Linked DNA regions of Caenorhabditis elegans. The protein of the gene in region 2 purifies or fractionates together with the protein of the main gene of each other region. This does not show direct contact. Each region holds a gene or a part of one and is shown on either strand. Other genes may lie near its edges.

Region 1 (6,617 bases), on a different chromosome or scaffold from region 2:
GTTATATTTGAAACAATAAAAATGTACGGTACTATGTTTTGTTATTATCGAGAAAATACGATCACAAAACTTTCACAAAATTTCTTTCCAACTCACCTGGTGAACTGGTCTCTCGGCAATTCGGCGCCGCTTTTCAACCAACCTTATCATCTTTTCAACTTCCATTTACAAAAGTGGCTAAACTTGGTTGAGGAGTGGGTAAAGTTGGGCTAATTTGGTGAAAGTTTGTTAAATCGGAAACATCTTTCACGCTGCTGCAACACATCTGTGAGTTTTTGCGCTGTAAATAATGGCGGAAGGATAGCATCTGCCTTGTCGTGGATTAGACCTTGCCTGCATTTTATCTCGCGCACGCGAAACTTTTCAACAGCATTTGAATAAGATGAGTACTCGAGTTCCGAGAAGATGGATTCCTGGGGCAAATTTGGAGTTTTTTTCAAAATATTCCAGAGATTTCGATACTCCGCTTTTTTAAATCATTATAAAATTTGAAGATTTCAAACATGATTTTCTTCACAAAAAAATAACGTGAAGTAATTGAAAATACTTAAATACACCGTCTCTTGGTGAATAAAAAATATTTTTAATAATTAGGTAATATATTAGACTATAACACATGTATTTATTGTATTAATTATACAATTGTAAAATTTCCAAAATTTTTTCAATTGAAAATTTCAAAAAATTTGAAATATAAAGTTTTGTGTCATATTCATCAAATTCTCAAAATATTTCGAGCGTTTCAAAGAAATGTCTAACCACTTCATAGTTTTTGAAGTTTTTTGGTCAATCAACTTTTAATATCAGAAAGAAGCTTCTAGAAATCCTATCCATTTCTAGTATCCTCATACTAAATATATTACCATCCATGTTTACTTCATCTCTGTCCCCTTTCCCATATGTTGTTTTGTCCTCTAATCTATGATCTCTTCGTTTTGTTTGTTGTTGTTGTTGGTCGTTGAGCTCTTATTGTACTAGAACATTCCTCCCCTTTTTTCCATCAGTTCGCTTCACATTCGCTGTCGTATTGTGAATATTGTGCTAACGAAAATTTTACTAAAAGGAAAATGGATATTCTCTCTGATATTGCCAATGCCGTTCTTCCACAGGTAAATGCGTTTATATTTTGGGACATTTTAAGTGGATGTATCATATAAAAAATTAATATTCGAAAATAAGACAATTATAATATGAAAACTTTAAATTAACTCACTTTACAGGACGTTGTTTCCAAAGTAGAGTCGAAACGTGCTGTAGCGGTTCTCCGTGGAACTGCTGTCTTCGGAACTGTTTGGCTTACCCAGGTGAGAACTGGTTGAAAGATTTTTTTTTGGTATTTTTAAAGATAAAGCATCGCCAATGAGATCAGAGAGTTTTCCCCAAAAATTATATTCTGTAGAAATATGTCAATTTTCGCCTATCATATAAAACGCAAAAATCACACCATTTGAAATGGAAGTACAATTGCGCTCCACTGCCAATTGGTCTCGTTAGGTATTGGCGACAGAACTGTAAAATCAAACTTTTTTATTTATTTTTGCTCCAAACTTTCAGTAGTTGTTCAATTGCATTTTTAATTATTTTCAGGCCAAATTTTTTTTAAAATGAATATTGTAAAAACCTAAAAGCCACGAAAAAACTGCCCAATACCTAACGAGACCCATATTATTATATTATTATATTATTTCGCGTCGGAGCGCGGTTGCACTTCAACTTCAAAAGGCGAGAAATTTTGGAATGGCACTAGGCGAAAACTGACATTTTCCATTAAAATATAAAATTTAAATTTTCTTACAATGTGTTTAATAGGAAATTTCCACACCGGAGTCATTCCACCATTAAAATAAATTGGGAAAAATCAAATCCCTATTTATTACTCTAGACCGTTTCAGAAAGCCGAAGGTGAAGAGACCGAATTCGAAGGAGAGATCAAGGGATTGTCACCAGGACTTCATGGATTCCATATCCATCAATATGGAGACTCAACCGATGGATGTACGTCTGCTGGGCCACACTTCAATCCATGCAAAATGAATCATGGAGGAAGAGATGTAAGTGATTTCACAGGCTATTTGTTATCTCTAAATGACTATTTTCAGTCCGTGGTCCGCCACGTTGGTGACCTTGGAAACGTTGAAGCTGGCGCCGATGGAGTTGCGAAGATCAAGTTCTCCGATAAGGTGGTCAGCCTCTTCGGAGCGAACACTGTTATCGGACGTTCCATGGTTGTCCACGTCGATCGAGATGATCTTGGTAAGCTTTCGACAGAAGGTTCTGATAAATATCAAAACATTTCAGGCCAGGGAATCGACGACAAGGCCGAGGAGTCTTTGAAGACTGGAAACGCTGGCGCTCGCGCTGCTTGTGGAGTCATTGCTCTTGCCGCTCCTGCATAAATCTTATTGACTGGACTCTTTTTTTCTAATTTATAAGATTTTTGACATTTTCCATGAGAAACACAAATCCTACTAATGTACATAGACTTTCGCTGCTTGTAAATAAACGTTTTATTTAGCTTTGAATTTTTTTTTCGGCAGGACCAGCGATTTCATGTTCAGAAATACGTCTTAAACTCAATAATATAAAATTCAAATGCCTGATATTTGAAAATGGAAGAATACTTTTGAAAAGTTCGGCCACGGCCAGGTTGTGTACTCCTCGTGGAGAAGAGTGTTTTTTGTTGCAAAGGATTATACAGTTTTCGCATAAAATACTTGATTTTTCTTTTTTTTTTGGATTTTTTCTCGTATTTTGATTCGAATTTCCTATTTATCACGAGTTTATAAAAGGAAAATTAAATTTTTTTTTGTATAAAACTTTAAAAAACGAGAATTTTTCTATTTTCAACCGTAAATACATCAATTTTCACCAATTCAACTTCGAATAAGAAGTGAATTAACAATTTTAATGTAAATTGCAAAAAAAAATCAGCATAAATGATCAGAAAATGAGAATTCTACCCGAAAACTACAGTATTACTTCTCCACGGGGAGTACACAAGCTGCGTAAATCGACACACGGCCGCGTTAGTCGTTTACGTGTTTTACATTAATTTAAAACGTATTTTTCATGTTTAAATAAACTTTGGAAGCCATTAAAAGCGGAAAATTAACTATTTTTGGCTATCGTAATTTTGTAAAATAAAATATTTAGAAAAAAATAATGTGATTTTCGATCAGTTATCAGTGATAAGCAAAGCAATTATATAACTTCCCACGCTTTTCACTGCATATATATAAATATCAGAAGAGGGATTCCTAATTGTCAGTCTTAACCGGCAAAAGATTTCCTCTAGAGATTTACTCTGCGTCTCCGCGGTGTCTGCACTCTCTCCTCGTCTACCTTCTTTATCTTCCCTTTTTACAGGCCATCTTTTGATCGTTAAATCGATTTTTCTCTTGAGAAAATCCATTTTTAAATCATTTTCACGTGGACGCCATGCTTTTTTAATATAAAATATAAATGTCGTCAGATTACGCACATTCTACGCAATCACCGATCAAATTAAATTTCTCGTTAACGAGAAAATTTTTTACCTCTTCGTTTTTTATCTTTTTTATCTCTCTTTTGCGATCCCCGCGTGTTGAACTCCACGTTGAAAAAATAAAAATCAGATAGAACAAAAAATGACGATTGCAGAGAAAACGAGAAGATCGAAAAACGGATGGAATGATTTCGGCACCAGTTGAAATGTTCAACAAAGCGAGTTTTCTCACGAGACTCGTCGCCTCGTCTGTCCGAGTTTCAGAGGCTGCCGGGGGTCTTATTAAAGTGAGTTTTTTTTAAATTTTAAAATATAGAATCTACTCGAAAAACTGTTAAAAAAGACCTCTCGTCAGGCCGAAAAGCTTAAAAAAATCAATAATTTAAGTTTAAAAATGGAAAAAAATTGTTTCGTCTTTCAGAATGTCATGGCCGGCGGAGATCTCAAAATCATCGATAAATCGGAGCACGGATCCGGCTACGATCCACAAACGGAAGCAGATCGTCGGGCTCAATACTGCATAGTTCAGTCTCTGCAGAAGCATTTCAAGAATATTAATATTATCGGCGAAGAGGTAAAAAATTAGAAGCTCTCAAAAATTAATTTAGAAAAGCATAAAATTTAATTTTTTTTCAGGAAGACACAACTGCTTGCCCGGAAATCGAAATGGGATTCAGTGCGGACGTGCTCCAAATGGAACGCCTGATGAGCACGGAGCTCAAGAATATCCAGGAAAATGATGTTGTAGTCTGGGTGGATCCGTTGGATGGAACATCAGAAGTCGCGTTGGCAGTTAAGAATAAGAATATGGCATTGTTGGAGCAGGTCACTGTGTTGATTGGAATCGCGTATAAGGGACGACCGGTGGCTGGAATTATTCATCAACCATATCATGAGAAGCTTGGAAGGACGGTTTGGGCGATTCAAGGTTGTGGAGTTCATGGAGTTGTTCCGGCTACTGGTAATTATTGATTAAAATTTTAAAAAAATATATTAAAAATGAAAATTTTCGCGAAAAAGTGCGATTTCGTACTCAAAATTACTGCCTGGTCCTGGTCCTAGCAAGAGGAAAATATTCTTCTTTCTGGTCTTGAAACGACCAAGTACTGTAATTCCAAATTTTCAAAAAAATTGATTTTTCATAGTTTTTCGGCAAAATTATATTTATTCATTTAAAAACCTCAAAATTTAACTATAAGAACACATTAAATTTTAACAAATTATACTAAAAACTATGAAAAATTTCGAAAAATTGATACAAAACAGAAGTTTGAACCTACAGTACTCCTTAAAGTCGCATACCTTTTTGCGTTTACAAAAATTTGTAGTTTCGAGACCAGGTACCGTATTTTTTCGCGCAAAACTCGTAAAATGTAGCTTTTAATAATACCGAAAACATTTATCAAATAAAAAAAACCATTTTCCGTATTTGTCACCAAAAATTACCACTTTTCAGCTACAGTACCCAGGTGTTTTAGTTTTTTTTAAAGAAAAAATTACGAAAAACACTGGAATCGCGAGTAAAAAAAATTCCGCTCGAGACCGTAATTTTTGGGAAAAAATCGCAAAAAAAAAACAATTTTCGAATAAAATAAAATTGTGCAAAAAATTTCAAAAATGTTTAATCAATCAGTCATGAACCTTTAAAACTAGAGTACCCCCGATTTTTTCGCTGCTTTTTACAATTTTTCAATAAATTATATTTTCCAGGAAATGCTCAAAAAATCGTGGTGACAACTCGAAGCCATCTCAGCGAATCTGTCTCCAACGCCCTCGAAGCTCTGAAAACTCGAAATTTGGCGGATAGCGTTGAAAAAGTCGGTGGAGCCGGATTCAAGGTGCTCAAAGTTCTGGAAGGGTGTGCAGCGTATGTCTTTGCAAGTGCTGGTTGTAAGAAATGGGACACGTGTGCAGTTGAAGCCGTGTTGACTGCTGCTGGAGGAACTCTTACGGACATTTCGGGCCGTGATATTCGATATGAGCCCGGTGTGCAGCTTAATAATACGGGAGGAGTACTGGCGACGGCTTCATGGGTCAAGCATAAGGATTATATCGATACGATTCCACAAGAAATCAAGAATATGTTGCCGGAGATTTCATCGAAAAAGTGATCTGAAGCATTCCAAATTTAATTTTTTTCCTTTTTAATATCATTTTCTTTCATGTCTAAATATTTTTCTTTCTTTTTTTAGTGTTGTAAATGAAATTATGAATTATCAAATTTTTTTTTAAATTTTCGATTTTACGGAAAATCGATAAAAAAACATAATTATTTTCTTCGAAAAAAAAAATGAAAAAATGGCCGAAAAATCGAGATTTTTTTTTTTGAAATAAAATCGAAAATTTTTCGATTCTTCGGTTAATTTTTTTGTTTTTCGAATTTCTCTAAATAATTTTTTTTTGATTTAGCGGTATTTAAAAACAAGGATTTTTTTTGGGAAAAATAGGAGAACAACCAAAAAAAAAAAGTGTGATAAACTTGAAAACAACAACAAATAACAAAAGAAAAAACGACGCTGCTGCTTCACATTTCGGCATCTCCAACCATAATCTTCTGAGTCTGTGGCAGATATGATTCCTCCTCGTCGAGTCCAGCGGCTTTTGCTCGTCGGAAATCTCGTCGTCCGCGGGCGTCTCTGATAAGCTTGTGCTCCTTGGCGGCTCTGAAAATTGTTTAGTTTTGCTTTGGAATTTCCACAAAATGTTGTTTTTCCAAAACGAACATTAGTGAGAAAATACAGAAAATCACTTGATTTCTCTGAAAATAATATTATTTTCAGCAGCATAAATGCTATTTTCAGAGAAATCAAGTGATTTTCTTCATTTTGGCACTATTTTTCAGTGTAATTGGCCAAAAATTCTGAATTTTTTCTGCAAAAAACCCACGTGAAAATATGTCTTGGCACATTGCGATGCTTTGCGATTCTTCGTACTTCTGGATGGTTCTTATAGGTATCTCGAAGTTTTTCATTATAAGCGAAAGCTTGTTTCTCTCGTTTTGTGAGTGGTCCAAGCTTCTCCGCGGCATTCGCTTTCCAGACACGAATATTCATTTCGTTACTTCCAGATAGAACGAATTTCGAATCAGCAGACCAGAGTACGGAGAGGACTGAGGCCATTCGTTTTGTGTAGT
Region 2 (6,617 bases):
TATTATATCTTGGCATCTCATGATTTAAATGATATTCAAATGCTTCTCTGAGCTTCGGAACAGGTGAATCTGACTTCAAAGTGAACAATTCAGTGTCTCGCAACGAAAACATCAATGTTTCGTTCATTTCAACATGATCTGTCAGTTCGGATACCAAATTTGGACGCATCAGTTCGACGAGAGACTCTGCATCCGGGTAGATAACCAATGGAATTACTTGAATTGCAACTGGCACATTTGTTGGATTGGCTAGTGTTAGATTCACGATGGTGAAGTTTCCAAGAGCTGTTAGAGGGAAATGAATGGAATTTCTTGTGAGAAGTCGTGGCCACACCAATTCAGCAGATGTTTTGATCTTGATATTCTTTGCTTTATCAGTATCCAAAATTATTGTAGTGTTGATATGATGTTTTCCACTATTCACCAATGCATCATATTTCTTTCTCAACTGTTTGTACAGATAAGAATCAATTTCTGGCAAATTAGATGGTAGTGTGAGACCATGCGTAAACCACGCTCCATCGGAACTTCCTAATGGGAGACCCAGATAACAGTAATCATGTTCACATGGAGCTGATGGAGAGAACATGACACGTCCAAGATTAGTGAGTCGTCCTGAACGAAGCACAGGTGGATTCTTGGGATCGAATCCTTCGAAAAAGAATCGTGGATCTTCATTGAGAGTTGTCAGACGGGTTACGGTCATATCTTCGTCGAATGAGTTGAATACCTAAACAATTTCAGAAATTGAAGCAACTATTAGGATCTTCCTACCTGTAGTGTTCGATAAACCAATTTCGACGGGAACGTCTGTCCGAAGCATATTTCTTCCGGTATCGACTGTAGTGATCCAGTTGATACTTGATAAGTAACTCCAAATATTTTACTCTCTAAATCAGTTTCGAAAATGATATTTCCGTTTCGAACAACTCCATCCGATGGAACTTTCAGCTCCAAATCAAAGATTTTTCCTTTCATTGGTGGAATATCAACATCGGTGGCTTCAACGTATTCAAGACGTTCATCATTTCGAACATCAGAAAAGTTTCCGATCGACTTGACACCAACTTCGTAGAGTCGGTAAGCCGAACGATGTGGTACAGCAAGATTTTTGAGACGCATCTCAGCTCGATTGTGATTCCAAACCACGAACTGAAATTATAAATTGAAATGTTATAACTTTATTTTAATTTTTTCTTACTCGAATTGTCCTTGTGTCATTCCTTTCAACAAAACCGAAATCAAATGAATTTTTATCCACAGATATCAACTCAACGTTCATTCTTCCTGTATAGGTTGATAGGCTTAAATTAAAAGTGGAAACATTTGTGTGTAGATAAATTGTAGAGTTATCGAATGTTGGTGGTAGTTTCTTATTGTATTTCAGAACAAAGACTGGTGAAATGTGGCCGGAACGGATGAGGGCAGTGCGATCAATGAGTCGAACCTGAAAGAAGAGAAAATAATAACTAGGATAATTCAGTTTTGAGAATTTGAACTTTAAAAATTTCCCAAAAAAAAATTATGAGAACTTACAGAAAAGTGGGAGACCAATTCTGGAGCCAATGTAATATTGAAAATAGCCACATCGAATGGCAACTGATTTTCAATTCGAATAATTCTTTGATGAGGTGGTCTCAAATCTTCTTGAATCGATAAATCATTTCCAATCGGGAGAAGGTCTCCACGAAATACATCGGCTCGATACGGAATGCTAACATTATAGTTTCCACCTCTAGAAACTGCAATAATGTGCCCACTAATATGTTTCATCTGTTGTTGAGGTGACATTTGTACTCGATTTCCTTCTAGATATACTTTTACAAGATCTGCTTTTGGTCCCAATGTGACGCTTCCCTTTGTTGGTGGATATACTATAATTGGTGGATGTGAAGCAAATTCCATATAAATTGCTGTATGATCTCCTTTCTCTACGTATAGAGTCTCGAATTCCAACCTTCCTCCAATTTGATATTGAACCACAGAAAATACTTTGGCCTCTGATTTCATCCCTTGTCGAATAAGTCCAAAATCCAAAATTTCATCTGTTGCATACACTCCGCGACGTTTCAGAACTTCAATTGGTACGGTTAAATAGATATCCGTATTCGGTTTGCGATGCTCAGAGCTCAAATAAATTTCAGATCCAATTCGAACAAATACTGTCGAATTTTCAGAAGTTGCTCCAACTAGGACCAGCGTAGCGATTTGTTTGGATTGATATGGACGAATATCCCAATATTGTAGTGGTTCTTCAGCCAATTTACTGTCAACTTCATGAGGAAGTTCTATGTGAGCATTTCCTCCAGATGTTCCGATCTATAAATTTTGTTAAATTAAACTAATTTAGAAGTAAATAATTATTAAATTCAATTATATAGGCGAAATAATTGAAGATTTTCGAAAATTGGTCATTTGAAAGTTTTGAAATGTTACAAAAATGAAAATGTATCTATTTTTCTCACAAAAACTAGTATTTTTTCGATTCAAAACTATTTTAAATACAAAATTTTTTTTTTATATTTATTTAAACAACGTCCTTTGAATGTATTTTTATCATCTCCGTGAAATTTTTCATTTAAAAAACAAACCTCGGTAATTCTCATTGTATACGCGTACGGATTGAAAATAACAATTGGCTTTGAAATAGATGAATTCATCGGAAGACGATAACCAGTAAATGGTGATATACGATATGGATTTGAATCACAATTTCCCTGCATTTTGTATGTGAATACTCCAACAGAAGTGTAAAAATGAACAATTGTCGATCGTTTTCCAATTTCTCGTGGTAGGAAGACCACTTCCAATGATGTAACACCATGTGGCTCAAGCTTCTGAAATTATCAAGAAATAATTGATTTTTGAGTAGAGAAAACTCACATATTGCTCAAAATATGAAGCTTGAAATTCAATAGAGTTGACAACAACTGCATCGAGGAATATCTGTTCATTTCTCATATTTCGAATGTAGATTTTGCGTTTCTGCGCGGTACCGACAGAACTGAAAAAAAATGCATACTTGGAAGGTTTTTTAAATTAATCAAAATTTTTGTTATCATACTTAAAATGGCCCCAAAATGTCGAATTTCATAACGAGACATTCCAAAAATTGCATTTTTTCAAAGTCTCGTTATGAAGTTCGATCTTTTGAGTATAATTAAAAATTATTCACTTTTGCCCAAAATCCATCATTGGTGGATCCATCTCCATTGGAAGTTTCCCTTTTCCAGACAATTTCAACACGTTGAATGTTTTCGTCGCATGGTTCTTGTTGGCTTCTTTCGGACAATTTCCTTCACAAACTCCTTTAATTGAATCATAAACTGGCAATTGATGCACATTTTCGGGTCGAATAGGATGATTGAGATAGTGAAGCTCTTCACCGATTTGAACAAATGCGGTATGAAGAACTGGAATCTCGTGAAGCTGGGATGCGGACACTTCTTCTGGAAGAGGCCATGCCTGAAATTGATTTTTTAATGTGAATTTCTGAGGCTAAACCATACCTGCTGATCTGCAAAAGTTGAAGTGATTAAAAGAGAAATTAGGAAGAAATATATCGTCCGATATCTGTTTGAAGTTTTGTGTATTGATGGAACCATTTGAGCATTTGGTAAATTGAGAGTTTCTCTGAAAAAACGAATAAATTTTTTTCTATAGGTTTTCTGAGTAAGATAATTAAAAAGCACAATAAAACGGAAATCAGTTTTTATTGCTTATTTTTTGCTTATTTGCTTATGCAACATGGATGATACGTGGAATTGAACGGCACTAAGAGATTTCTCCAGGGAAATAAAAAAGTGAGAGACAACGGCAAAGGCGACGTCGACTTCAATTGGGAAGGATAACTGGGAGAAGAGATAGTGTTTGATTTGGAGAGACCCAGTATTCGGCATCTTGGGAAGAAGAAGATACAGTCGTCGTGAGACGCAGAACAAATAGGATCGATCGATTTTTGAGGGAAAATAGAGATGTTGAACACGTCATCACACCATTATAAGAGAAAGAAGAACGAAGAAATCTGGTTTGGAAAAGTGAAGAGAGAAAAAAGAAAAAGGGCTTTTTTCGGTGAAAAATGAGTGGAATCAAGTGAATAAAACAAAGACAAAGTGATAACCATCTGTCATCTAGGTCAAGGCAGTCAGGAAAAAAGTCTATAGCTGTCAACCGCAGGCTAGTTTTATTACCTCGGGTATGAATATTAATGAAGCATTAAAATATTGAGCGCTTGGATTTACATAGAATTTAGAAAATCAGAAAACAGTCTTTATTTAGCAGAACAATTGTGGAAATTATGGACACATTTTTTTTGTAATCAGAAAATGATTTTCTTCGGCTATTGTTGTTAACAAACACGCGAAAAATAGAATATTTGACAGAGTATACTATAAATATCAAAAATATGTCTTAAATAATTCCGAATATGCAAATTTCTGCGCGAAAACGTTCAAAACTGACGATTAAAAACCAGAAAAACTACAGAAACAAATTACAGTTATTTCAGCCGTGTGGAGAATCCTCGGCCACGGCCACCAGAACAATATCTCCTGACTGCAGTGACTGGTTTTCCGATGTTTACACTGCTGGAAGTTACTTCATTGTTCTTTTGCAAACAATTTCGCTTGGAAAATATTGATTTAATTTAACTTGAACGTAAATTGACTTTTAAATTGATTAATGAGTAGTTTTATAGAGGGTTTTGGTTACTGTAGCTTTAAAGGCGCATGCTTGAAAAGTTTTAATGAAGGAAACTCTTCCATAATTTGCAAACATTTTCACTTTTGTTTTTTAAGCCGTTTTCTGCTGAATTCGTCTTTTTATTATGAAATTAAAATTGTATTAATTTCAGAAATGATTTCATTCGAGGATTTTCTCCTCCGACCATCCAAAGTCGTCGATCCATTCAACAGATTCGTCGCAAAAATTGATCCATTTCTGACTCTTGTCGAATTTTGCCAAGTTATCGGACCAAAACCACTAGCGGTAGTTTCTCAGCGGCCAGATGATAAAAGTAAATATTTATACACAATTTTCTCGAATAAATGCTAATTTTCAGTCCGCGGAGTTGACATAAACGATATGGCAATCTGGTTGATGTCGTCTGATACTGTTCCGGGTACAATGATTGTGTTGGAAAACAATCAAACGGGTGTATATGCGGCCGCATATTATTTTAATTTGTACGACATGAGAGCAAGAGCTTTTCAAAGAAATTTATGCATCGCCTATTTATGTTCGGAGAAGCCAACAAAAGAAACTTTGAACCTATTCTCATCAGCTATGAAAAAATTAGTTTCACCAGTTTTGATTTGCAATCGACGTCTGTTTATTCGCCATGTCACTGATATTGTCAAGTTTTCGGACAGTGTTGGTAAGTTTTTTTTCTTCGATTTTTTAAACAAATTGTTACCATTTTCAGATGAAACCACCCTGAAACAGTACTATACACTGAATGGAGATTCACAAAAGTTGTCAGACGGAAGCAGATTCAATGTAGTTTTCGAGCAAACCAGGCTTCTAAAAAGCAAATTTTTGACGAAAAGATTTCAAGAAATGGCTTTTGATGGTGAACAAAACGTTGAGACTTTGATTTAGAATTATATTTCAGATGACATTTGCTGTGGTCACAATGCAGAAAACATGAACGAAGCTGAAGATATTATTTGCTCATTCCGAGTTCCATCAATTCCATTGAGTCCTGTGGAAACTCTCACTCCATGTGTAAGATTTTAAAACCTTTGTTGCCTATAAAAATTAAATTATACAGGCGTATTCATCCATAATTCCAAAACTACGCCAACTATGCTCCGAACTATGTTCATCAGGAAGCCCTAATAGAAATTCTACTCATGGAGCTCTTTTCTGTGGACACCGTCCCATCGCAACTACATCACCAGCCGCCACTACAACTTTGCCTTGGAACACTGATTCAGGAAAATCTGATAATGATAAAAACGGAGAAGAAACTCTAAAAGAAGTAACTGGACACCTGGGAGATGTCATATTTCCATTGCTTTGTGGAGAAGATTTGGTAGTTTGTGGAGCAGAACAGAGAAAGAGTACTGTAGAAGATATGCTCGGGAAATTGAGCAGAGTTGTTCCAAGAGAAAGTGCTCGGAATGTAGAAGAAAATATCAAAATCGAAAAGGATCCAAATAGGTAAATAATCAGAAAACATTCAATTCTAAAATTTGGTAATTTTTCAGAATAGGCAATGGATTGGGCGGTCTGCTATGTAATAGAAATGAGACCGGAAAATTGGCAAGATGGAGAAATGTTCTTGATATGAATAGGTAATAAAAATTCAAAAAAAAAAAAATATCGGTTTCAGAAGTGCTCTCAAGACGTTTACCTACGATGGATCATTGCTAGCTGGTCTCAATAAGAAAAGAAAGTGAGTAACATTTATGGACTTATTTCCTTATCTTGTCAAACAATTAAGTGCAAATAAGGGGATAAGTTCAGTTAAGATATACACTCTCCTAACAATAAACGCCTTTCAGGTTCCCATCTGATCGTTCCCTGGTCCTTTTTATAATTGCCTATTTGACAAATATTTGTCAGCTTGCATTCATCTGTCGATATATGTTCATCAAATCTCCGAACTCTATCGA

The links. The genes of interacting proteins can lie anywhere in the genome.
Region 1: the proteins of tmem-131 (region 2) and bpnt-1 fractionate together in Caenorhabditis elegans (co-fractionation; one large-scale study listed by BioGRID). This does not show direct contact.

The regions. Positions count from the first base shown.
Region 1 is NC_003280.10:4,416,618-4,423,234, forward strand, and holds bpnt-1 (3'(2'),5'-bisphosphate nucleotidase 1), read left to right. Parts: upstream 1-3,638; 5' UTR 3,639-3,690; coding exon 3,691-3,771; intron 3,772-3,905; coding exon 3,906-4,058; intron 4,059-4,120; coding exon 4,121-4,445; intron 4,446-5,194; coding exon 5,195-5,595; 3' UTR 5,596-5,702; downstream 5,703-6,617. Other genes in the region: sod-5 (Superoxide dismutase [Cu-Zn]), read left to right, coding at 1,068-1,109, 1,221-1,304, 1,893-2,051, 2,100-2,253, 2,299-2,396; dcaf-13 (DDB1- and CUL4-associated factor 13), read right to left, coding at 6,009-6,147, 6,371-6,617.
Region 2 is NC_003281.10:4,994,529-5,001,145, forward strand, and holds the start of tmem-131 (Transmembrane protein 131 homolog), read right to left. Parts: upstream 3,634-6,617; 5' UTR 3,606-3,633; coding exon 3,510-3,605; intron 3,466-3,509; coding exon 3,176-3,465; intron 3,005-3,175; coding exon 2,884-3,004; intron 2,838-2,883; coding exon 2,592-2,837; intron 2,320-2,591; coding exon 1,537-2,319; intron 1,448-1,536; coding exon 1,202-1,447; intron 1,153-1,201; coding exon 775-1,152; intron 731-774; coding exon 1-730. Other genes in the region: Guanine nucleotide exchange protein smcr-8, read left to right, coding at 4,855-5,014, 5,060-5,374, 5,423-5,569, 5,612-5,724, 5,771-6,162, 6,210-6,296, 6,335-6,397, 6,507-6,617. UniProt on the Caenorhabditis elegans protein: Collagen binding transmembrane protein involved in collagen secretion, probably by recruiting the ER-to-Golgi transport complex TRAPPIII. Required for normal development.